Linked DNA regions of Rattus norvegicus. The protein of the gene in region 1 binds, or shares a complex with, the protein of each later gene. Links are inferred from orthologs where the notes say so. Each region holds a gene or a part of one and is shown in the gene's direction. Other genes may lie near its edges.

What was found.
Region 2: Nup98 (region 1) and Nup93 share a complex: the UniProt entries of both Homo sapiens proteins name them as parts of the nuclear pore complex. The link is inferred for Rattus norvegicus from reciprocal best matches to the Homo sapiens genes NUP98 and NUP93.
Region 3: Nup98 (region 1) and Cetn3 share a complex: the UniProt entries of both Homo sapiens proteins name them as parts of the nuclear pore complex. The link is inferred for Rattus norvegicus from reciprocal best matches to the Homo sapiens genes NUP98 and CETN3.
Region 4: Nup98 (region 1) and Nup205 share a complex: the UniProt entries of both Homo sapiens proteins name them as parts of the nuclear pore complex. The link is inferred for Rattus norvegicus from reciprocal best matches to the Homo sapiens genes NUP98 and NUP205.
Region 5: Nup98 (region 1) and Nup153 share a complex: the UniProt entries of both Homo sapiens proteins name them as parts of the nuclear pore complex. The link is inferred for Rattus norvegicus from reciprocal best matches to the Homo sapiens genes NUP98 and NUP153.
Region 6: Nup98 (region 1) and Nup214 share a complex: the UniProt entries of both Homo sapiens proteins name them as parts of the nuclear pore complex. The link is inferred for Rattus norvegicus from reciprocal best matches to the Homo sapiens genes NUP98 and NUP214.

The regions. Positions count from the first base shown.
Region 1 is NC_086019.1:165,930,211-165,933,897, reverse strand, and holds part of Nup98 (nuclear pore complex protein Nup98-Nup96 proprotein), read left to right. Parts: coding exon 1-118; intron 119-3,206; coding exon 3,207-3,636; intron 3,637-3,687. UniProt on the Homo sapiens protein: Plays a role in the nuclear pore complex (NPC) assembly and/or maintenance. NUP98 and NUP96 are involved in the bidirectional transport across the NPC. May anchor NUP153 and TPR to the NPC.
Region 2 is NC_086037.1:10,699,820-10,703,506, reverse strand, and holds part of Nup93 (nuclear pore complex protein Nup93), read left to right. Parts: intron 1-343; coding exon 344-501; intron 502-1,847; coding exon 1,848-2,013; intron 2,014-2,399; coding exon 2,400-2,493; intron 2,494-3,370; coding exon 3,371-3,562; intron 3,563-3,687. UniProt on the Homo sapiens protein: Plays a role in the nuclear pore complex (NPC) assembly and/or maintenance. May anchor nucleoporins, but not NUP153 and TPR, to the NPC. During renal development, regulates podocyte migration and proliferation through SMAD4 signaling.
Region 3 is NC_086020.1:13,823,500-13,827,986, forward strand, and holds the start of Cetn3 (centrin-3), read left to right. Parts: upstream 1-1,591; 5' UTR 1,592-1,679; coding exon 1,680-1,696; intron 1,697-3,226; coding exon 3,227-3,362; intron 3,363-4,487. UniProt on the Homo sapiens protein: Plays a fundamental role in microtubule-organizing center structure and function. As a component of the TREX-2 complex, involved in the export of mRNAs to the cytoplasm through the nuclear pores.
Region 4 is NC_086022.1:64,831,888-64,835,574, forward strand, and holds part of Nup205 (nuclear pore complex protein Nup205), read left to right. Parts: intron 1-665; coding exon 666-810; intron 811-1,134; coding exon 1,135-1,294; intron 1,295-1,818; coding exon 1,819-2,047; intron 2,048-3,647; coding exon 3,648-3,687. UniProt on the Homo sapiens protein: Plays a role in the nuclear pore complex (NPC) assembly and/or maintenance. May anchor NUP62 and other nucleoporins, but not NUP153 and TPR, to the NPC.
Region 5 is NC_086035.1:18,205,926-18,209,612, forward strand, and holds part of Nup153 (nuclear pore complex protein Nup153), read left to right. Parts: intron 1-1,327; coding exon 1,328-1,374; intron 1,375-1,781; coding exon 1,782-1,911; intron 1,912-3,687. UniProt on the Homo sapiens protein: Component of the nuclear pore complex (NPC), a complex required for the trafficking across the nuclear envelope. Functions as a scaffolding element in the nuclear phase of the NPC essential for normal nucleocytoplasmic transport of proteins and mRNAs.
Region 6 is NC_086021.1:35,673,366-35,677,052, forward strand, and holds part of Nup214 (nuclear pore complex protein Nup214), read left to right. Parts: intron 1-132; coding exon 133-592; intron 593-1,614; coding exon 1,615-1,790; intron 1,791-3,197; coding exon 3,198-3,295; intron 3,296-3,687. UniProt on the Homo sapiens protein: Part of the nuclear pore complex. Has a critical role in nucleocytoplasmic transport.

The DNA.
Region 1 (3,687 bases):
GTAGATGCCATGGAGCAGCGCTTCGGTCACTTCCCTTCCAGAGGAGACACTGCTCAGGAGATCTGCTCCCCTAGACTCCCCATTTCAGCCTCCCACTCCTCAAAATCCCGCTCCATAGGTACAGTATAAAATGTGCTGGTTCCAAGGACACTGTCAGCTCGATTCTGCTTTTCATATTTCTCCTTCTAAGCTGAATGGATTTCTTTAGCAGAACCTCTGAAAACTATAACAATAGGCATAATTTTTTTTTAAATACATACTATCCTCTTCCTACCATCTATGGCAGGGAGATTGCTGTGAATTTGAGGTTACCCAGAACAGCATAGCAGGACCCAAGGAGCTTGGCTCAACAGCTGAGAATACTTGTTCTTGCAGAAGACTCCAGTTTAGTTCTCAGAAACCATATGGTAGCTAATAACCCTCTCTTCTCCATTTTCAAGAGATCTGACACCCTCTTATGGCCTCCTGGCCACCAGGCACACACATGGTGTATATACATATACATACACTTAAGCACTCAGGCATACATACTAAATAATTTCTTAAAAAAGGGGGGTGGGGTCAGTGAATTAGCTTAGCTGATAAAAAGTACTTGCCATCAAGCCTGATGAACTGATGATCTCTAGAACCCACATGGTGGAAGGAGAGAAATTACTTCCTGAAGTTGTCCACTGACTTCCATGTATGCACACATGCACACACATTTTAAAACAGAAAAGGTAAAAGTGCTGACATGGCAGGGTTTTAAGCATCATAAGTACCTCTTTATTGGGAAACCACTTGTAAACCACCTCCCTAAAGTTGTCTCATTGAGTGAGAGCCCTGTTTTAGTCACTTGTGAGTGTGGATTACATAGTAAGCTCTAATCTAAACTCTACCACAATACTTAGATTCCACAAGTTGACCATGTTCCTTTTATTTAGTCCTTACATTATCTTACTGCTTTTTTTGATAGTAAACTTCAAGTATCTACTTTTCCCTAAACCTTTGAAAACCCCTGTGGGGTAATCACATATTAAATTTTAAAACTTTCCCTTTTCTTACTAGGATTGCAGATTATACTTTATAGAGTACTGGCTGGAGAGATGATGGCTCAGCAGTTAGGAGTATTGACTGCTCTCCAGTGAGTCTGGGTTCTCAACACCATCTGTGACTCCAGTCCATGATACACAGTGCCCTCTTCTGGCCTCCTCACATACTACATACACATGGTGCACGGGCATGCAGGCAGAAAAACTTTTTTTTTTTTTCTTGAAAAATGTCAAAAAAAAAAGGTTGTGGAGTATTGATATCAGTGAGTAGGCAATTGTAATTCAAAATACTTTGAAAGCTGAAGAACTAAATTTTGTTAATGTTTTCTGAAAAGGTAAATAAGGAACAGCAAGAAGGCTGAGCAGGTAAAGATACAAGTTTGATTCTTAGGACCCACCTTGTAAAGAGAGTGAACCACCTCCCTAAAGTTGTCCTCTTACCTCTCCTTAAGTTCATAATGTCAGGACTTCGGGGTTTTTTTTTGGGGGGGGGTTGTTTGTTTTTGTTTGTTTGTTTGTTTTTAAGATTTTATTCATTTATTATATATAAGTACATTGTAGTTGTCCTCAGACACACCAGAAGAGGGCATCAGATCCCATTACAGATGGTTGTGAGCCACCATGTGGTTGCTGGGATTTGAACTCAGGACCTCTGGAAGAGCAGTCAGTGCTCTTAACCGCTGAGCCACCTCTCCAGCCCAGGACTTCAGTTTTAATCTATCTGAGTTTTGTGGTTTTATTTTGTTCGGGTTTTTGTTTATTTTGGGGTTTTTGTGGTTGGGTTTTCAAAACAGGGTCTCTGTGTAGCCTGACCCCAGACTCACTGCCTGCCTCTTCCTCCAGAATGCTGAGATTAAAGACATGTGCCACCACCCCCAGCTGTTTTTGTATTTTACTTATATATAAGGCTATATTTGTGCAAATATAATATCCTCAAAATTTTTAGATTTATCTGTGTATTGATTTTTTTTCTCTGCATGCAAGTATGTAAGGCAGGTACATGCAGTGCCTATAAAAGTCAGAAAGTGTCAAATTTCTTGAAAGTAAAGTTGTGAGCCACCATGTGTGCACTGGGTATCAAATTCAGGTCCTCTGCAAGAGTAAGAAGTGCTTTTAACTGATGGGCTGCCTTCTCTCTAGCCGTTACAATGTCCTTTTAGCTCAGTCTCCATCCCCTATAGCTACTTACTTTACCCTTTCCTTTTTCTTGGTCCCCATACAAGTTTTCTTCTACTTTCATGTCATTAGTACATAAATAATATCAGGAAAGTGCAATATCTAAGACCCATAAATTAGAGAAAACATGCAATATTTGTATTTTTGGAACTGATCTAGTTCTCTGTAAATTGCTGTCTCCAGTTGCATCCATCATTTTAAAGATAGTTTTATTGCATATAGGATTTCAGTAAGGATATGACCCTTAGGAACAGTTTTACCCAGTCTCGTCACTTGATAGTGCCATGGACTTAGAAAGGCCCCCTTTTTAAGCCCAGTTTCCTCAGTTTTAATGTGAGCAGCAATAACACTTCCCGATCAATGTTACTGAAAAGTGAAGTGTACACATAATTGTCTTTAATATTGTTGTTAATCCTTGAAGATTCTTGTTTTTGTTTCTCCTTTATAAAATCATTAAAGTCCTTGCTTTGATTTCGTAGCTGAAAAGGTGATTATTGTGGACTGAAGAGATGGCTGAGTGGTAGGGAGCTTATACTGCTCTTAGAGAAAGCACAAGTTTGGTTCCTAGCACCCACATCAGGCAGCTTACACCCACCTGTAACTCCAGCTTCCAGAACGTGGGACACCTGGCATCCACAGGCAGCTACAGTCCTGTTGACATACCCACAAACATATACATAATTTAAAATTTTTATATAAATATTGTGGCACACACTTTTAATCCTGCACTCAGGAGGCAGAGTTCAAGGCCCACCTGGTCTACATGGTGAGTCCCAAGACAGCCAGGTTATACAGAATAATCTTATCTGGAAAAACAACTAGTGCACACCTTTGATCCTAGCACTCAGGAGGAATAATCTTGAGGCTAGCCTGGTCTTCATAGGACTTAGGCTACTTGTCTTCAAAGAAAAGTGATTATTATAAAAATCTGTCTGAAAATTTTCATCTTTAGCGAAGAAGCAAACTGGGTTGTTAAGTGTCTTTTCCTCCTTGTTTCAGTTGGTGGGTTGCTCCAATCAAAATTTGCAAGTGGAACTTTTCTTTCACCAAGTGCCTCCGTGCAAGAATGTCGCACACCCAGAACATCATCTCTAATGAACGTCCCATCCACATCCCCCTGGTCTGTCCCTCTACCCCTGGCCACTGTGTTCACAGTGCCCAGCCCAGCCCCTGAAGTTCCCCTAAAAACAGTGGGGATACGCAGGCAACCAGGCCTAGTCCCTCTTGAAAAATCCATTACATATGGCAAGGGAAAACTCTTGATGGACATGGCCTTATTCATGGGACGTTCATTTCGGGTTGGCTGGGGTCCCAACTGGACTCTTGCAAATAGTGGAGAACAACTGCATGGCTCTCATGAACTGGAAAATCATCAGGTTGCCGAGTCTATGGAATACGGATTCCTGCCCAATCCAGTAGCTGTTAAATCGTGAGTTACGTTTCTTGATTGATGCTTTGTGGGGGTGTCCACATTGTAATT
Region 2 (3,687 bases), on another chromosome or scaffold:
GCTTGCCTAGGAAGCGCAAGGCCCTGGGTTCGGTCCCCAGCTCCGAAAAAAAGAACCAAAAAAAAAAAAAAAAAAAGAAGAGGAAGGAGATCCCATCATTGCTGGCTAAGAGAGAACACACAGGTAAGCTCTGTTCACATTTCAGTGACTCCAGATCCATGCTACATTGCCACTCCCAGTTTCCCCTGGACAACTTAGTGTGTTTGCAAAACACAGGGAGTAGGATACAATCGGTGGCTCTTAACTCATGGGGTTATGGTGGGAATTAAATGCCTTAGCTGGGTGTCCACACATCAGAAAGGGGTTGGTTAGCTCTTATTTGACTGTGTGTTTTGTCTTTTAGGATGGAGAGGTAGAAGGCCATCCGGTCTGGGCGTTAATTTATTACTGCATGCGCTGTGGAGACCTGCTTGCTGCATCACAAGTCGTCAGTCGAGCCCAGCACCAGCTGGGGGAATTTAAAACCTGGTTCCAGGAATACATGAACAGCAAGGATAGAAGGTACAGTGAGTGCCCTGCTTTGCTGCAGTCGTAGACTGCATTTAGTGAGTTTCCTGTCAGTGGAGCACTGTGTGGAACACCCTCTCGGCTCAGATTGATTGCTTTGTAAAATACAACGTTTTGGCCAAAAGTGTTGGTGTGTGTCTGTAATCCCGGCAGTCAGGAGTCTGACACATCAGTTTGTGAGTTCAAAGGTAGCCTAGACTACATTTTAACACCTTGTCTCCAAAACCACTAAAATAATAACTGAAATAGAATGAGACTTTTTGTGTTAGACATTGGTTTGTTCAGTCCGTGTGGATGTGTGTGCTTTATGCTTCAAGTTAGAGCTAGAATTTAGTCCGTGTGAAGTTAGCATTGGGATGTTTACCACGGCCCTGAGAAGCTTTCCTGAACTAAGGGCCTGCTAAGCAGAGTTGGGATTGCGCTTATGTAATTGGACTCACCAAGCCCAGTTGTATGTATGCACTTATAGAGGAAATGTGATGCTCACTCCAGTGGGTCCTGGGAAAGCAAATATTCAAGGGGTAATACTGCCACTTGAAGAGGTTGTCTCAGATTCGCTCATATAGATTAAAGTAGGGTTAGGGCTAAAGATTAGCTCAGAAGTAGAGCCTCTGCTTGTCCAGCATGCACGGAGCCCTGTGTTTGATCACCACTGGAGTGGAGGCAGCATTAGCACCCAACTCAGAAGGAGATCCTGAGCCAAAGATTTGGGTGCAAGTCCATTATTTGGGAGGTGATCCCATGTGAATAAGGGAAGGTGGGGACCCAAGGGCTTATGACAGTTGAAGGAGGAGAGGAGGTTGGAGAGCAATCTCAGTGGGTAAAAGTGCTTGCTGTGCAAACCTGAGTTCAATTCCAGAACCTTGTTAGGCATGGTAGCACTAGCTTGTGATCTCCGCATGATGAGATGAAGAAAGAAGGATTTCTGGGACTCTGGCAAGTCAGCCTAACCTAATTGGCAAGCTCCAGACCAGTAGACATACTATATCAGAAAAACAGCACCTCTGCCTCTATCCTCTACTGCACACATATGTGCATTCAGATAAACAAACTGTAAGACGATTAGGGAAGGACTGCTCTGTCACTGCTGGAGGAATGCTGAGTAGGGTAGAATACTGACCCGTAGCATTCCCCATCTTCCCAAGGAGGTCTCAGGACTTGAGAAGACTGATGGGCCAAAGCATGTGGTGCTAGTAGTTAGACGGCGGTGAACGTGGTGGATGAGGCAGGCAGGCCCTGCGCTCAGGATGAAGGATGAAGGAGAGCTTCCAGAGTGTTCTGGGCATGCTTGCACTCCACCTTTGAGTCTTCGCTGAGTCTGTGTCTCTCTGTGTCTTCAGATTGTCTCCAGCTACTGAGAACAAACTCCGGCTTCACTACCGCAGAGCCCTCAGGAACAACACAGACCCCTACAAGCGAGCTGTGTACTGTATCATTGGGAGATGCGACATCACCGACAACCAGAGCGAAGTAGCAGACAAGACCGAGGACTACCTGTGGTTAAAAGTAGGCACAGTGTCCTGTGGCTGCCCAAGTTCTCTATACTCTGCCCTCATAGTGCATGACGTTTGTGTGGGGCTCAAGACAGGGCCAGTGGGTTTTGTGTCTAGTTGGCCCTATTTTTTTATTGTGTGATTTCCAGCTAATAACTACAGTTAGCTTTCTTTTCCTTCTTTCCTTCCCTCCTCTTCCCCCACTTCCCTTCCCCTTTTGTATTGCTCGGGATGGCATCTAGGGTCTCAGTCATGCTCTACTAACACACAAGCCAACCCAGAACCACAGTGTGCTGTGCAGCCTCCAGATCACAGCACAGAGCCAGCCTCTGGGCAGGCAGCTCTGATGTGGTGAGGATGTAGTTTGTACCAGTGTGTTTGTTTCCTTTGGGGCTTTAGCTGAACCAGGTGTGTTTCGATGATGACGGCACCAGCTCGCCACAAGACAGGCTCACTCTCTCACAGTTCCAGAAGCAGCTGCTAGAGGACTATGGTAAGACCCTGGACGATTGCCATCTTCTTTTGGGGCTTACCATTTTCAATCAGGCACAGACTGTTATGCATTGAGACATATACATCACTTGGATACTTGGGAGACTGAGGCAGGAATATCCTGAGTTCAAGGCCAGCCTAGGCTACAGAGTGAGTTTGACATTTTTTTGGTCTCAGAATAAGAATAAAAGGGTCTGGGGCTGTAGCTCAGGACCGAAGTATTTGCCTCACATTCCAGAGACCTTGAGTTTGATCTTTGGCCAAAAGAAAAGAGAAACGTGCGGCTTCCACAGTCATAGACCATAAACATGATCCTAGTTCTTGCTTGGGAGAGATGTGAATGGGGTCTCAGTTGCTCCCTCGTAGATCTTGCTAGTCACATTCGATTACAGAGAGGAGTAGCTCTCCCTTTGCCCTCAGTGCAGGGTTCGGTGACTCCAACTGTACCTCAGCTTGGCAGTTTCTGCCTCTGTCGCTTCAACATCTCTGTTTCTCTCCTCTCTAATGCAAGCAGCTTAGATTTTTGTAACAGAACCCCGCTTGCCAACCATGAATGAGGCCCAGAGAAGTAGAGGGACTGGGTCGTGTTGCTTTGTTTATTTTAAGCCAGTGTTTTTCTCTGGCAGTTGTGGATCTCAGTTTGTACGTCAGAAATGGCCTTGAATCCACAGAGATGCGCCTGTCTCTGTCTTTCTGTAGCTGTGACTAAAAGTGTTAGAGGTCTGGGCCACCATGCCTGGCTTCATGTAGTTTAGTGTGCAGGGTCCCTTAGGCTCATGTTGCTGCTCTCTCTCACCCAGCAAGGCCAGTAGATACCCAGGGTGGGTCAGACGCTGGAGGCGGCTTCCCTCTGAGTAGGTTTTGCCTTCTCTCCGCAGGCGAGTCCCACTTCACGGTGAACCAGCAGCCCTTCCTCTACTTCCAAGTGCTGTTCCTGACTGCACAGTTTGAAGCTGCCATTGCCTTTCTCTTCCGCATGGAGCGGCTGCGCTGCCATGCTGTCCATGTGGCCCTGGTGCTGTTTGAGCTAAAGCTGCTTTTAAAGTCCTCCGGGCAGAGTGCTCAGCTCCGTGAGTATTTAGGTCTTAGTTGGCATTGATGCGACCACAGCACACCATCCCCTTTGATTACAGTGGTAAAATGGCAACCACTCCGGATTTTGGTCATCTTAGAGCATTGTAGGTACTTGAGATTT
Region 3 (4,487 bases), on another chromosome or scaffold:
TGACTCAGGGGAATGCTTCTCTACATCTCTGTTTTCAAAACCATGATAACAGACTGAGCCTTAACAAGTCTTTTCTGGCTCTGATCACAGGTGGGTAAAAGTCCTGTACTCGTCAGAATTAGACATTGTGATTAGACTCTGTTCCCTCTCATGACCCATTTTAACATTATATCTCAAGGTGTGGATTCTAATTTGACTCGTAGACATCTTTTCCCCTATTAGGTACCATATTTATGGTTTCAGGATACCAAGATGTAGCCTTAGCTATTATTCTACCTATCATACCACTATGATCTATGTACAGCCTCCAGAACAGTCACTTATGAATCACTGGTAATTGTACAATGTTTAACTTAACTTCATATCTGTGCACTAAATAGTTAACATTAAATATTTAAGAAATAAAAGTACTTAATTTTATATTTTAGGCAGAGTCTCACTACTAGTCCTGGCTGGCCTGGAATTCACAATGTAAAGAACTCAGAGATCCGATTGTATGTCTATTGGGTGCTGGGATTAAAAGTATGTAGCACCACGCCCAGCAAGTTCTTCATTTCTCTACTTTGGTTTTGGGAATGCTACCATTTAGCTATTACTTTTTAGTTCTATCCCAACTCTCTAGTCAAATTTCTATCTACACTCCAGGCTTAACTCATACACAGCCAATTACCCAGTGTCCTTCCTTCACATACAAATTTAGATATAGTATTTCCCTTTTCTAACACCTAGCCCCAGTTTATTGTATTTATGCCTATAAGAACTGCTTGGTTAGCTCAGGAGTTTCCAAGTTTTCCACAATAAGACTTCGTTTTACGCATCAAGTATTTATGGAACACCTAAGTTCCAGATATTTCATTTGGTACAAATATTCGTGTAAACGGAATTGTGGCCTTGAGGACAGTCGGTCTAGCAGCTTGGTGATCGAAGTAAGCTTCAAGAGGCTTGGTGGGGAGTGGAGATAGAATGCACACACAAGGTTTACAGCACTAGAAAGTGAAGAGCAGAAGCAAACAAATACATTGCAAGTCGCACAGAAGAAAAGGATGGTTTAGGTAGTCTCACTGTACATGACCTAACAAAACAACAAAATGAAAAGACTAATCCAGTCTGCCTTAAAATCACTTGGGAAAGCTGTACGGGGAAGAATGCTTAGCTTGGTCGTTACTGAACTAAGATTGGAGAACATCACCTTTAGATTTAAGTTTCTCGGGTGTACCAGCCACCCAGAATTGTACATCTTTTTGTAGACCTGGTTCCTCAATCACTGCTCCGTCTGAGCAGGCTGCTTGTGCCGTGCCTTCTTCCCCTTCCTTCGGTCGACGCTGTGCACGCGTGCTCGGAACTCCAGCACCATGTCACCCGTAGAGCCTAGCCTTGCCTGCCTGAACCCCGCGTGGTGACTTAACAGGCGCGCAAAGGATTCAGGAAAGCATCTGGCCAATCCAAGGGGTCAGACAGACAGCAGGGCGAAATGTGTACTTGACTGACATGAATGCTGACCAATGGAAACAGAAGACAATCGACGCTTCCGCCCCAATGGGCCGGCTGTTGGCAATTTCGGCCAATCGCACCCAGAAACTTCTGTCAGGTGGGTGGTCCCCGAGGCCGTGGAGGTTGGTGGCTGTTGAGCGGTTCTCGTGGTAAAGTCCTTGAGCGGAACACCTCTGTCGGAAGAGAAAATGAGTTTAGCTCTGAGGTCGGTAACGAGGAGGCCGCGCCTCCGTTCCCCAGAGGGGCCAGGGAGGGCGTGGAAGGGAGGCCGAGTCGGGAGCGGACGAGGAGTGCCGAGCATCAGACCTCGGCGGTCCCCGCCTCCCACAGCGCCGCTCCCCGAGTGAAGTCTCGCGAGGTTTCCCTCACGCATCTGCGGGTTTCGGGCCTGGCCGCCTGCTTCCTCCGGAAAGTCACAGGAGAGCTCGCCTTTCTGCCCGGGTCCCGTGGCACGCTGTGCTTTGGGCGTCCTGGGTGGATCTCGTTTCCGTGACACCCTCCAGTCACTTCCGGACATCCCCCCTCCCCATTGGCTCCTCACCCTGTCCATCTACACTTAAAGGCGCCCCCGGACCGCGCATTAGCCTGGGGTGGGTGTGTGGCGAGTGTGTGTGTGTGTGTGTGTGTGTGTGTGTCCGCGCATTAGCCTGGGGTGGGTGTGTGGCGAGTGTGTGTGTGTGTGTGTGTGTGTGTGTGACCGCGCATTAGCCTGGGGTGGGTGTGTGGCGAGTGTGTGTGTGTGTGTGTGTGTCCGCGCATTAGCCTGGGGTGGGTGTGTGGCGAGTGTGTGTGTGTGTGTGTGTGTCCGCGCATTAGCCTGGGGTGGGTGTGTGGCGAGTGTGTGTGTGTGTGTGTGTGTGTGTGTGTGTGACCGCGCATTAGCCTGGGGGTGTGTGTGTGTGTGTGTGTGTGTGTGTGAGCTGGGGTCACGTGAGAAAGATTCCTGGCTGCCACCGTCACCCGCTCAGCACTGATCTCCCACGTCTGGTCCACCCGGAGGGCGTTCCTGACGAGACGCTGTTACAGTCAGCCGAGTTTTAAGATTTTGAGGTTTTAAAGCTTCCATCTTTTAAAACGTGCTGATACACGTGTTGTGTCGTATCCTCGTTTAAACATTTGGACTGCTTTTTGCATTGGCAGCTCTTAAGGCAGACATTTTCAGATCCAAGTGCCCTTTTTAGATTTCCTTTAAACTTCAGAGTTTTTAAATGAAGACGTCTAACCTATCGTTTACATGTTAAGTGAGAGTTAAAACACTTTTAAACATCACGTCGTGGACTTAAGCACGAGTATTAGATGCTGCGATTCTGGGCGCCTAGTATTTGCATGTTTAGGCCCTTTAATAGTTTGCCTGGCTAATATCAGTGGAATAAAACCACAAAGCACTGTTAGAAATGTATAATCTAAAAACATTTTGGACTTAGAATGCTAAAGTAATCTTTTAAGTTTTATGGATGATTTTTGTAGTAATTGTGAGTTGGTTGTCATTTGTGAATTTCACTTTTGTATGTTTTTTTTTTTTGGTTATTTTTATGTTCTTGGTAGATGACAGGAATAATATGTATGATGCTTTCAACTTTGATTAGGATTTCGGTTATAAAAGTACATTTGGACTACAGGACGTTAACTTAGGCTCAGTTTCTTTATGTGCCAGACTACTCTGTTGAAATTTAGAAAATGATTCTTTGTCCTAAGTTGGGTTAAAGTAGACTAAAGGCATTTTTCTGTGTCCTAGAGGTGAGCTTGTAGTAGACAAAACAAAAAGGAAAAAACGAAGAGAACTCTCTGAAGAACAGAAGCAAGAAATTAAAGATGCTTTTGAACTGTTTGATACCGACAAAGACCAAGCCATAGATTATCATGAATTAAAGGTAACAGGGTATTTAAGATCCATTTTTGTTTAACTCAATTGCGTTTGTGCCTGTTGCTTTAAAGTCTACTTTAGAAGCTTGTTTCAGAACTGTGAGGCTGTTTGTAGTGCCCACCCACAGGTGCTACAAGAAAACGGAGTAAAAATGGAGTATGGCTTCTAGAACCTTGTATTTAAGTGTAAGAGTGCATCTTGATGGGAAGTCTAACTTTTCCATTCACCCAGTAAAGGGACAGTTCTTAGCATGTTCTTCCTACAGTTGTTTTCTTCTGTGTGATGATATAGCTCAGATTTTTAACAAAACAAAATTTTTTGGCATATGCATGTGCCCCTGCTGGCCTGTACATCCCCTTGTGTATCATGTGGTGGGCAGAATAGGGCCTGTGTATCTTCCATCACTCTACTCCACTGCCTTGAGACAGGCTATTTCCCTGAGTTGGAAGTTCAGCACTTGAGAGTGAACTCTGGGGATCGCTGCTGTCTCCACAACTATGCCTGTCTTTACATGAGTGATGGGGATTTGAACTCTGGTCCTCAAGATTTTAGGGCGAGAACTCTTACTGACAGTTTTGAAATGGAGAGATCATTGACTTTGCTCAGACATTTGAGATTGACTTTTAATTTTTAAGATAATACTAGCACACTCTTAGAGTACACTCTTCTCTGTTACAAAGGATATAAATTGTCTGATGCCTAATGTTGCTACGTGCAGAAGGAAAATGTCCTACCCAAGGCTTTAATTACTAGTAAAGAGGGAAGGGGAAATTGGTTATGAACACATTTCTCACGTTCAGCCTAGTAAGAAGGATCACATTTTGATCTCTTTAAGTACCCTTAAAAGTTCATTTAGTAGTTTTAACATTATAGGGGTAGAATCTATGTAGCGAGATGATAGACTATTTAAAAGTAATAATAGACTTTGAAGCTTTGGCCTCAGTCTTGAGGTCCTCCTTTAGCTCATTCCCTAACCCACTGTTCTCTTGCTGCTGCTCCCCTCCTCCACATAGCATGAGTTCTTCCTGTCCAGTGTCTTAGCTATTCGTTGTCATTGACCATCACAGATGGGGACTTTGTCTCATAGCTGGAGCGTCCTCATTTCTGACTTGTCTTTTACACCACCATTAAT
Region 4 (3,687 bases), on another chromosome or scaffold:
AACTGTTTCCAGCCTAGAACTTTGATTTAGCAAACATGTCCTCTGTATTTACCATGCTCTAGATACTGTGGGAAGACTGCTATAAAATAAAGATGAATGAAGCCTCATTTAGTGTAAAGGAGCACAGTGTGGTGATTTAAGAGAGACATGGAATGGTTTTGACTGGAGGCAGTGCAGAGTAGAAGAGAATGACCCTGAAAGGAGGGAACTTGCAGACATTTGCAAGAGTTCATACCAGTGGAGATAGAGTGGGCCCGACTAGCAAATCAGATAAGTGAAATCCAGTTGGGAAAGTGATGAATCCCTTATTCTTTATTTGTTTAGTTGAGACAGTGTTTCTATGTGTAACCCTGCCCTGCCCTGCCCTGGAACTCACTCTGTAGACCAAGCTGGCTCTGAACTCAGAGATCCACCTGCCACTGCTTCCTGAGTGCTGGGATTAAAGGCTTGTGCTACCACAGTGTGACTGGGCTTCTTGTCTTATTAATGGGGTTGATCCTGGTGTATGGTTGGTCGGCCTTTTGAGTCTGCTATGCCAGGAATGATACAGGGAGTAGAGATCCTCAGGGTCCCCTTTATGTTGAGACCTGCAGATTTGAATGAATTTTGGCATACTCTTTGAACACATTTGAGCTTTATTATTAAACAATCAATTCCTTTTCTAGGAGAACATCAGCAACCACATTTCCCTGGCCTCACCAGAGGATTGGTAGCTGTCCTTTTATACTGGGATGGAAAGCGGTGCATTGCAAACTCTCTCAAAACCCTAATACAGTCTAGACGAGGGAAGACATGGACATTAGAACTCAGGTCTGTTTGCCTTCGGGGACTTACAGGGTTAAAGTAAAATTACTTGAATTTGAATTTTGGAAATAATTCTTAGTGTATATAGTAAACTGTGATCTCATGTCAGTAATATACTAGAATGCTCTTTCCAGAGTTGTACATTAGTTTAAACATGACTTATTTGCAAGTGAAAAATCACAAAGGTTTATTTAACTCCAGTGATTTAGAAAGGGTAAAAAGCACAAGATTATAATTCATCCTTGTTGTTTGCAGTAATAGGCTGTTGTTGGCTGTTGTCAAAACAGTATTTTTATTCACTGTAGCTTTGTTTATTTCTTTTCCTTGCAGTCCAGAGCTGGTTTCCATGACAACACGCTTTACAGATGAGCTGATGGAACAAGGATTGACTTACAAAGTCCTTACTTTGGTGTCACAGATTGATGTGAATAATGAATTTGAGAAACTACAGAGAGACAGAGGTTTGGGCAGTGAGAAACACCGCAAAGAGGCAAGGCTTCTATAAGATGAACTCATGGGTGTCTTTGTCAAATGTGGAACTGAAGTCGTAACAGAATATTCATTTCACTTAGGCGGATGAAAACACTGTGTTTCATCATCATTGTAACTTGTTTTTGGAGGTGGGGCCTCACTGTGTAGTAGTAGACTGGTCCAGAACTTGCTATCTAGACCAGGCTAGCCTCCAACTTAGAGATCCACTGCCTCTAGAATGCAAAGCATGAGCAGCCACCCCTGTGGAAAGTGTACACTGTTCTGCTCATGGGACTAGCTTGCATTTGTTCCAGTTGCCGTGCCTGTTTATGTATCTAGTTCTTTCTGGAATGAGTTGTTCAAGCAATTGGTCAGCATGGTTTCTTAAGGACTAAACCCTAGAATTTGTTCAGAATTTCAGCAATTTTAGGAGCACCTGTGGATTCAGATAGTTAATTTTGTTAGACTTTATGGAAGACACTCTATATTTTGTAATGCCAGACTTTGCTATAACTTATGTCACAATTGTGTTGTTACTTGTAGGTTTCTGATCTCATCAAGGAGTGCAGGCAGTCTCTGGCTGAAAGTCTTTTTGCTTGGGCTTGCCAGTCACCGTTAGCTAAAGATGACACCCTCCTGCTTATTGGACATTTAGAAAGAGTGACAGTCGAGGCCAACGGCTCCCTGGATGCAGTAAATCTGGCTCTCCTCATGGCTCTTCTGTACTGTTTTGATACCAGCTTTATAGAACAAAGCACAGAGGAACGAGATGGTATTGAGTTTTACATTTATATCTTTTTAAAAATTATTTACTTATATTTATTTTATGCACATTTGTGTTTTGCTTGTGTGTATGTCTGTGTGAAGGTGTCACACCCCCTGGAACTGGCATTGTAGATGGATGAGAGCTGCCATGTAAATGCTGGGAATTGAACCCAGGACCTCTGGAAGAGCAGCCAGTGTTTTTAACTGCTGAGCCGTCTCTCCAGCTTCAACATATATATTTTTAATGCTTTTTTTTCTTAGAGTCTCACTGTGTGGTTTAAGTTGGCCTCGGACTAATTTTTTTTAGTTACATTTATTTATTTGTGCGTGCGTGTGTGTGCCTGTGTGTGTGTGTCACACACACCAAAAGACAACTTTCGGGATCAATTGCCTCCTTCTACTATATGACTTCAGGAGGTAAACTTAGGTTGCCAGGTTTGATAGCAAGCACTGTTACCCACTGAGCCATTTTGCTGGTTTGGCCTCAAACTCTTGAGCTTCCTATTCTAGTCTTCTGAGTGCTGGGATTATAGGCATATGCTAACATACCCAACATGTGCTAACACAACCACCAATACTTTTATTTTTAAATATAAAATTTTAAATTGCGAGGGAACATTCAAGAAGGACGATATTTTAACTTCCAAAATACAAATTTTTTTCTTTTTTTTTTTTTTTTTTCTGTCTGTGTAATTCAGGCAAGTTGAAACATTTTAAATGTGTGATTTAATTTAAGACTGAGGTCAAAACTCAGTAATAGAGAATTGCTTACCATACTTGAGGTCTTGAGTTTGCTTCCTAATAGAAATGACAGGAAATTAGCCTTGGTGGGTTTTTGTTTTTGTTTTTTGTTTGATTTTTTTGAAACAGTTTCTCTGTTTAGCTCTAGCTGTCCTAGAACTTACTATGTTGATCAGGCTAGCCTTGAACACGCAGAGATCTGCCTGCCTCTGCCCTCCCAAATGATGGGGTTAAAGGTGAGCACTACCATGCTCGACTTTGTTCCTGTGCAGTTAGTTTCTTATGAGATTTGAAATGACGGTTTTACAGGATAGACAGCAGTGTGTTCATGAGTGCACATGCCTGACTTTACTGTAGCTACTTTAATTCACTTTTTTTTTTTTTTTTTGGAGCTGGGGACCGAACCCAGGGCCTTGCGCTTGCTAGGCAAGTGCTCTACCACTGAGCTAAATCCCCAACCCCCTTAATTCACATTTTAAAAACTTGGGAAAACACTGAATTTCTATTTTCTTTTTGACATAGTATTTTTGTATGTGGGGAGATGATTTATTTTATCATAAGAGAGCATTTATTTATAATTTAGAATCCCTATATAGAAAAAAACAGTGAGTGCTTCTTTTTTCTAATTTCTGCTGTCTATGAAACTTATTGAAAGTTGTTAACTAAAATTTTTGGTTGTCTTTTCAGTTTTTGTGCATTTAATACTTAACAGTAATACAGATTTCTGCTATGTCAATAATAATGTTGATTAGTCATTATTCTTTTTGAAAATGCTATGTCTTTGACTTTTAGATATCCATGTATGACAGAAGTAAGAATTTATTTCTGCTGTTTTTTGCTGACGTGGTCTAGTTTTGTGTTTTCAGATATGATTCACCACCTTCCCCTGTTGACAGAGAGACAGTA
Region 5 (3,687 bases), on another chromosome or scaffold:
GTTCAAACCCAAGAAGAGAATCTTGGTGCTGCACAAAACTATAAATTTTATTTAGATGTTAAATACTGACAGACATCATCAAGACCGTGACATGTAGTTGTCATCTGTCTTTGTCTTCATTAATCTAGAATATTTTTGAAAAGACGAGTTAGTTACTGTATAGAATGCACAGCGCTAAGAGATTGTCCTGGGTGGGTCTAGATTCTGGTTATTCCTGGTTATCCACTGAAGGAGGGTTGAGCTCATCTTAGGGCTCAAGTGGAACTTATCCTGTTTTTTTTTTTTTTTAAAGATTTATTTTTTATTTTATGTATATAATAAGTACACTGTCACTGTCTTCAGGCACACCAGAAGAGGGCATTAGATCCCATTACAGATGATTGTGAACCACCCTGGTTGCTGGGAATTGAACTGAGGACCTCTGGAAGAGCTGTCAGTGCTCTTAACCACTGAGCCATCTCTCCAGCCCTCTCCTGTCTATTTTTGATCCCATTAGCATTATTGAGAATTTTTGCCTCAAGCTGTTTTTGATTGCACTGTGGTAGACTTTTAGTTCTATTGTTCTTTTTCCATCTATTGATTGGCCCTTTGCTGTAGAGAATTTTCTGTGTTTAACTGAATCCTTAATTTTAGAGTTGCTTCTTTGATGCTTATCTTCCCCTGTATTTGCCTTTGAATGGATTCTGTGTCCTTTTATTATGCCCCATCAGTTTTGGGTATCTTATTTTTTTATATTGCAAGGTAATTCCGAATCTTGTACATTTCTGGTTCTCTGATAGTTCTGATGAGTTGGGAGTACTTTATATCTCAGATTCTGTCCTTGTAAAGTTGTCTATCATTTAGTACAGCAAAAAGGAAAGTTGTCCCCTAAAAGTCAGTGTGACCTTTGGACTAGTAGATGTGTGACATTTTGTATATATGCTCATATTACAGTGCACAGTGCAGTTGTGACCTTTGGTTAGCATTCAAACACAATGTCTAAATTACATATACCAAGGCCATTAGAAAATCAAATTTTTAATTTCAAATAATAAAATTTATAAGTAAAAGGATGTTAAGAGAGTTTGAATCTATGGATGTAGCTTTCAGTGGTGGAAGTACTTGCCTTGCATTTGATAAGGCTGAGTTAATCACAGCACTGAAAAAAAAAACTAAGCCAGAAATGCTCACCTGTGATCTCTGCACTTGATGGGTGGAGGCAGCGGGAACTAGATCTCAAGTTCAGTCTGAGCTGTATACGGAGTTCGAGGCACTCCTCATTATTACCCCACTCCCCAAATAATTGTCATTTTTTAAATAAAATCCTCATACTATTTTTTTCTTTCAGACTGTAGATGAAAAAAATATCTCAAGACAAAATAGAGAGCAAGAAAGGTAATGTCATCATATACTGCAAATGGATTTCTTTATATTTGTAGGGTTCATATTTACAATAGCCTTGAAGATAAAGAAAATTGAAACGTATACTTAGGTGGTGAGCGAGATGCTCAGCAGGTCAGGGTACTCTACCAAACCTGAAACCTGTGTTTAGTCCCACGTAGTGGAAGGAGAGACCTGACTGCCAAGAGCTTTCCCACTAACCTTCACAAGCTGCCCATACTAAGATCATGTGTGCTTACATGCCCATGAATGTATGAATACATAAATAAATGCAGAAGAAATTTCAAAGTATATTTGGCTATACCCTAATTGTTTTGTTAGCTGATCTGGTGTTTGAATATTTAACAGTTTCTGCAACAAAATATTGAAATTGTTCTAATTTTCTTTTTTTTGTTTGCTAGTGGCTTTTCATACCCCAATTTCAGTATTCCTGCAGCCAATGGTTTATCTTCTGGAGTAGGTGGTGGAGGTGGCAAGATGAGAAGAGAGAGAACAACACATTTTGTTGCTTCTAAACCTTCAGAGGAGGAGGTAGGCTCACATTTTATAGAACTTTGAGAGGGTCGGGGTGAAGTAAGGCCTATAGGAATGGGGCTTGAAGATTTGGAGTGAAGAGTATCGACCATTGAAACCATCCTTTCGACCATTGCTCTAATACCCAGCCCAGAGGCCTCAACTTCACGAATTGGGTAAAATAACTTTAAAAAACCCCTCCACCTTTTTATTTTATGTATTTTTGTATGTGAGATAATTCCCATCGACATTATTGGATTCTCTGGTTGCTGCCTTCGGGTTTTGCTTGTTTCTCAAGTGTACATACGATTAACACTGTGTACTCTCTCTGCGATGGTTCATGTTTAATGGAACAATGGAATTTACATTTCTCTGCTGTTTATCCTTTGTGCAGATTTACTACAATTAGTCCATTCTCTCATCAGGGTACATTTGGGCTGATCCCCAGTATGTGCTAAGGTGAATATTGATACACTTCTCCTTTGCCATGTGCAGTTTGGTCTGGAGGATATTTACCAGGAATGAGGTTTTTGGACTACAGGATTTGACATGTCTTTAAATGTGTTGTTGGTCTTGGCTATTATTCTCTTCACAACACTCCATGTGATCATAGATGGATCTTAATTTTTAAAATTTTTCCTTACTAGCATTTGGTTTTGGTCCATTTCTAGTGTGATAGCTAGAAAAAAAGTCACCCGGGCTTTATTTTGCGTCTTGTTTCATGGGAAGGAGGAATCTTTTGTATGTGTTTTGTGACCATTTAGGTTTGTCTTTTATTATTTTCCTATTAATTAGGATGAGTTCTTGGACTGGTGAGGTAGCTCTGGGTAGAGGTGCTGCTGCCAATCTGGTGACTTTAGTTTCATCCGTTCCCATGGTGGAATAGGAGGTCTGAGTCTGCGGGTTGTTGGTTAACCGCCACATGTGTGTGTTTACATGTGCACACACACAAACACACACAGAAGTAGGTAAATTTGAAAAAGAATTGATCTCTAGGTATTGTTTAGATATAGAACATAGAGACTAATTGAAGATTGGTTAAATTGACTTTCTGTCTAGAGATTGCTCATTTTATTTATTTATTTTAGCTACTTTTTGAGTTGGAACATCCCGTTTCAGTCTTCTTAAAATTGATTTCATCCAAGCTAAATCATTTTAGGCTTTCACCACCTTCTAAGATGTTCAACTTACTTGCTCCTTTAATTGGAATGTAGGGCTTTATAAACTTTTATGTGTAGGGGTGCTTTGACTGCGTGTTATTTCTTTGCACCACACACATGCAATGCCCATGGAGGTTTGAAGAGGGCGTTGCAGTCCTTCAAATTGGAGCCATGGATAGTTGTGAACCACCATCTAAGGTTGGGAACTGACTGAACTCAGCCCTCCTGCAACAGCAGCCAGTACTCTTAACAAGGCAGCCATCTTTCCAGCCTTGGGGACTTAATACTTTGACTTACTTGTTTCCAGTTACAATTTCTCATTATGTTTATTGTATTTTAAAGTTTAAAACTTATATTTCATTAATAGGGATTTTTTTTCTAGTATGTGATTGTGGTCACATGTGTGGAGACCATTGGACAGCATCAGGCATTGATCTTTGTCTTCCTCTTTGTTTGATACAGGATCTCTGTTGTTTGCTGTGTTCATGCCAGGCTAGCTGGCTGGTAACTGCTGGGAATTCTCATCTATGCCTCCCGGTTTGTTATGGGAGCAGGGGGATTACCAGATATTTGCTGCCTGTGGTTTTATGAACTCAGGTCCTCACACTGGTCAAAAGAGCTTTTTCCCACTGAA
Region 6 (3,687 bases), on another chromosome or scaffold:
ACTCTGTTTCCTCAACAGGCACTATTTCCAGCCTCACTGCCCTCAGCCCTCCCTCCTTTACTTTCTATCCTGTGGAGCCCCAGGGATACAGTTTAAGCGTGTCCTTTTGTTTCTCCTTGGTTCTTGTTACAGGAAGTTTTCCTAGTACACCACCTTCCCCTCAAGCTCCACAGAACCTTGACGCTCCAGCAACAGCCTCTTCGCCTCTTCCACCGGTGTCTGCTGCTCCCACCGCCACCTTCCCTTTGCCGTCTGCTGGAGGAGGCCCTTCTGTGTTCTCCTTTGGCCCTTCACCCTTCAAGTCCTCCTCCATCCCCGGGGAGCCCCCGCCATACCCCACTGGCTCTGACAGTTCCAGAGCAGCACCAGCCTCTGGCACCCCCACCTTCTCTTTTGCGCCTCCTTCCAAAGGCACCTTGGCCCCGACCCCTGCAGTGGCTCCTGTGCCCACATCTGCTGCTCCCTTCACTTTCGGATCATCAGGTTTTAAGCCCCCCTTGGAAAGCACACCTATGTCCAGTGCCCCAAACACAGGGATGAAGCCTTCATTCCCACCCTCAACTTCTTCGGTGAAAGTCAACCTGAACGAGAAGTAAGTCACCTTGAAAGACTGACTCCTCGGTAGACTGGGCCTCATAGTGCATGGTGGTCACTGAGCTAGCGTCACTCAAGTACAGTGCACAAAGTAGTTATGTCCCTTTCTTAGACTATAAAGATAGCAGTCTTCCTTATTTTACAAAGGGCAACAGCCCAGAGCATTCATCCAGGGAAGGAAATGGGTCTTTTGTAGCTTTTTCCTCCTCAGCTACTCTTGACACTCAGCTGGTTCTGTGCAGCCACCAAGGTGACTTGAATAGTTAGGGATACTTGAGGTGACGCTCCTGCTTGATGGTCCCCAAAGGTTTCTTGTTACGTTTCTTTACAATTCAAACCTTTTAGCGTGGTATCTGGTTTCCTCCACATTAGTTCCAGTCACCCTGCTCATCCCTTATTTATTTACCTCTTGATCTTTTTTTCTGTTCTCCCCACCACACTGAGCATCTAGAGGGAATGTTCCCCTGTATCGTGCAGCCTTTTCCAGTTGGAGCAAGTGTCAAAACCATGTTTTGGGGCCTCATTGCCAGGATGTCGTCCTATAGGCACACTGTCATTGCTCAGATTACATCCACACGTGGCTACTTCACACTAGCCACTTTTGGTATTCCATTTTGTTGGGCTGTCCATTTTTCACCGGAGCTTGTCTGCAGACCTTGCTTTGGTGGAGGTGACTTGACAGTCTTTCTAGACCATGATATCCCAGAGACAGCGACTCCCTGCCCTGAAACGATAATTCTCAGAACAAGGGCTCATGCTTTGTTGCGCCACCCCCTTAAAACAAAACACACACGCAAACCCATGTGACAGGGTAGAAAGTAGATCCTCCTACACTAAGTGCTTTGGCTGTGCTGTAGGTGGTGAGTAGATGTGATTGTGCCCTCCCATGAGTAAGCAGCATGAGTGCTGCTCTGAAAGTAGAGGAGACGGCCAGTCAGATTTTCTTGGCTCTCACTGCTCAGGCCCAGTGGGAAGGAACCCTCCAGCAGAGTGTTGTGACAGCCGCATTTCCGCTTCTAGGTTCACCGCTGTGGCCTCCTCTGCACCCGTTCATAGCTCCACAAGCATACCCTCCGTGTTGCCGTTCTCTTCCTCCCCCAAGCCACCAGCTTCTGGACCACTCAGCCATCCCACGCCTCTCCCAGCATCACCCAGCTCCATGCCTTTGAAACCTTCAGTCTCTCCCTCTCCGTCAGGTAATCTCTAAAGCCAACAGCTTCTGTCCTCAGCACACACGAACACCCTTTCAGATGATGGGTTCAGCAGGTTAAGAGTCCTTGCTAATGTACTGAGGCAAGGGTTTTTTGTTTGGTTTTTGTTTTTTGAGACAGGCTTTCTCAGTGTAGCCCTATCTGTCCTAGAACTCACTCTGTAGGCCAGGCTGTCCTGGAGCTCAGAGATCTGCCTGCCTTTGCCTTCTAGTGGATAAATGGTGGGGTCCACCACCGTCACTACCTGGCTAAGTTTTTTATTTTGTGGGATGGGGAGTGTGTTTGTGTGCTTGACTGTTTTAATGTGCTGTGATTGTGGTGCTCTGACTTGGAGATTCACAGTGGTTTCAGTTCTGCTAGCCTTTATTTGGGGCTCATGGAAATTCAAAGAAAGTGTCTTGTGCCTAGGCGCTGGCCCTCACACACAGCCAGTTACTGAGCTGCCCTTAAGCATGGAGGATAGGAGCCGTCCTTGGGACCCATGTGCTTACTGCTCCAGAGGCTCTGGATTACATTTTCCCATCAGCCACTCTGAACATGTGATGAAATGGGAATGGTTAGAGACAGGATTTAAGGCTCCCGAGACATCAGCCCAGCCTTTCCCTTCCTGTCACATGTCCAACTTAGTTGCAAAAATATAAATACTGTGCTTGTCATCAAGGTTCACTGCATCCTAAAAGTTTACATCTTTGCTTATCTCTTTCTTCCTTTTATGTAAAAATTTGAAAATATTTTAAGAGTTAGTTGCAGACATTGTGAAACACTTGATCTCTAGATCAAGGGTTCCCGTCTCCTAAAAGCCAAGGCCATTACACTCAAGAAATTAACAACCTTCAAATTTAGAGTCCATGTCATATTTCTCCAGTGGTCTCACAGCTGGGATTTTCCCCCCTTTCTTTTTCTGTTCATCTCATTAGTGTAGACGAGAAAACCAGCTCAGTGGTTTGGGGACCATCCCTATTGGGATTGGATTGTTTCCACATGATAGGATTCAGGTTAAAGATTTGGGGCAGCTACACCAGGTGCCTGATATTCTCATGCGTGCTTTTATTCAGTCTGACTGTAGAACTGTTTTGAGTTTGGACATTTGCTATATTTCTTTTCTTATGTGTATGTTTGTGCATGTGAGTGCAGTTACTTGTCTGGTCCCCTGGAACTGGAGTTACGAGCAGTAGCATAAAGAGACCGTGAACTTAAGCCTCCTGAGTACTGGGATTGTGGACATCACCAGGCCCAATTTGATCATCCTCCTTTAATACGGGTGGTAAAAGTAAAGCCAGGGACAGGGTATAACTCCCTTTCTTAGATTTGCGGAAAGATGTTTGTGGTGACAAAAGTAACAGGAACTGGTGTCTGCTGTAACTGACTGATGTCATTGCTCCTTTACTCTAGTTGGCCGCTCCGCCCAGACTGCCCCGAGTTCAGCACCCTCCACAGGGCAGAAATCTCCTAGGGTAAATCCTCCAGTGCCAAAGTCAGGGTCCTCTCAGGTATGTTGAAATTTCCTTAATATACTTGTGTGTTACTAACATGGGCCTTTGTGCTTTAGAATTCAGACATGAAAACAGTAATTATATCTGAATAGGAGACACTAAAGTCAGCATGTACTCATAAAAGCAATTATCTATTTACTTTTCTTTTTCCAGACATGGTCTCACTATGTAGTCCTAACAGGCCTGGAATTTACTCTAGACCAGGAGGCTGGCCTTGAACTTGAGAGAGATCCTCTACCTCCTGAGTTCTGGGATTAAAGGCATGTACCACCATGCCCAACCTCTGTTCAGTTTTTTGCTTTTTTTTTTTTTTTAAGGTTTATTTATTGTATGTATATGAGTATACTGTGACTGTCTTCATACACAACAGAAGGAGGGCGTCAGATCCC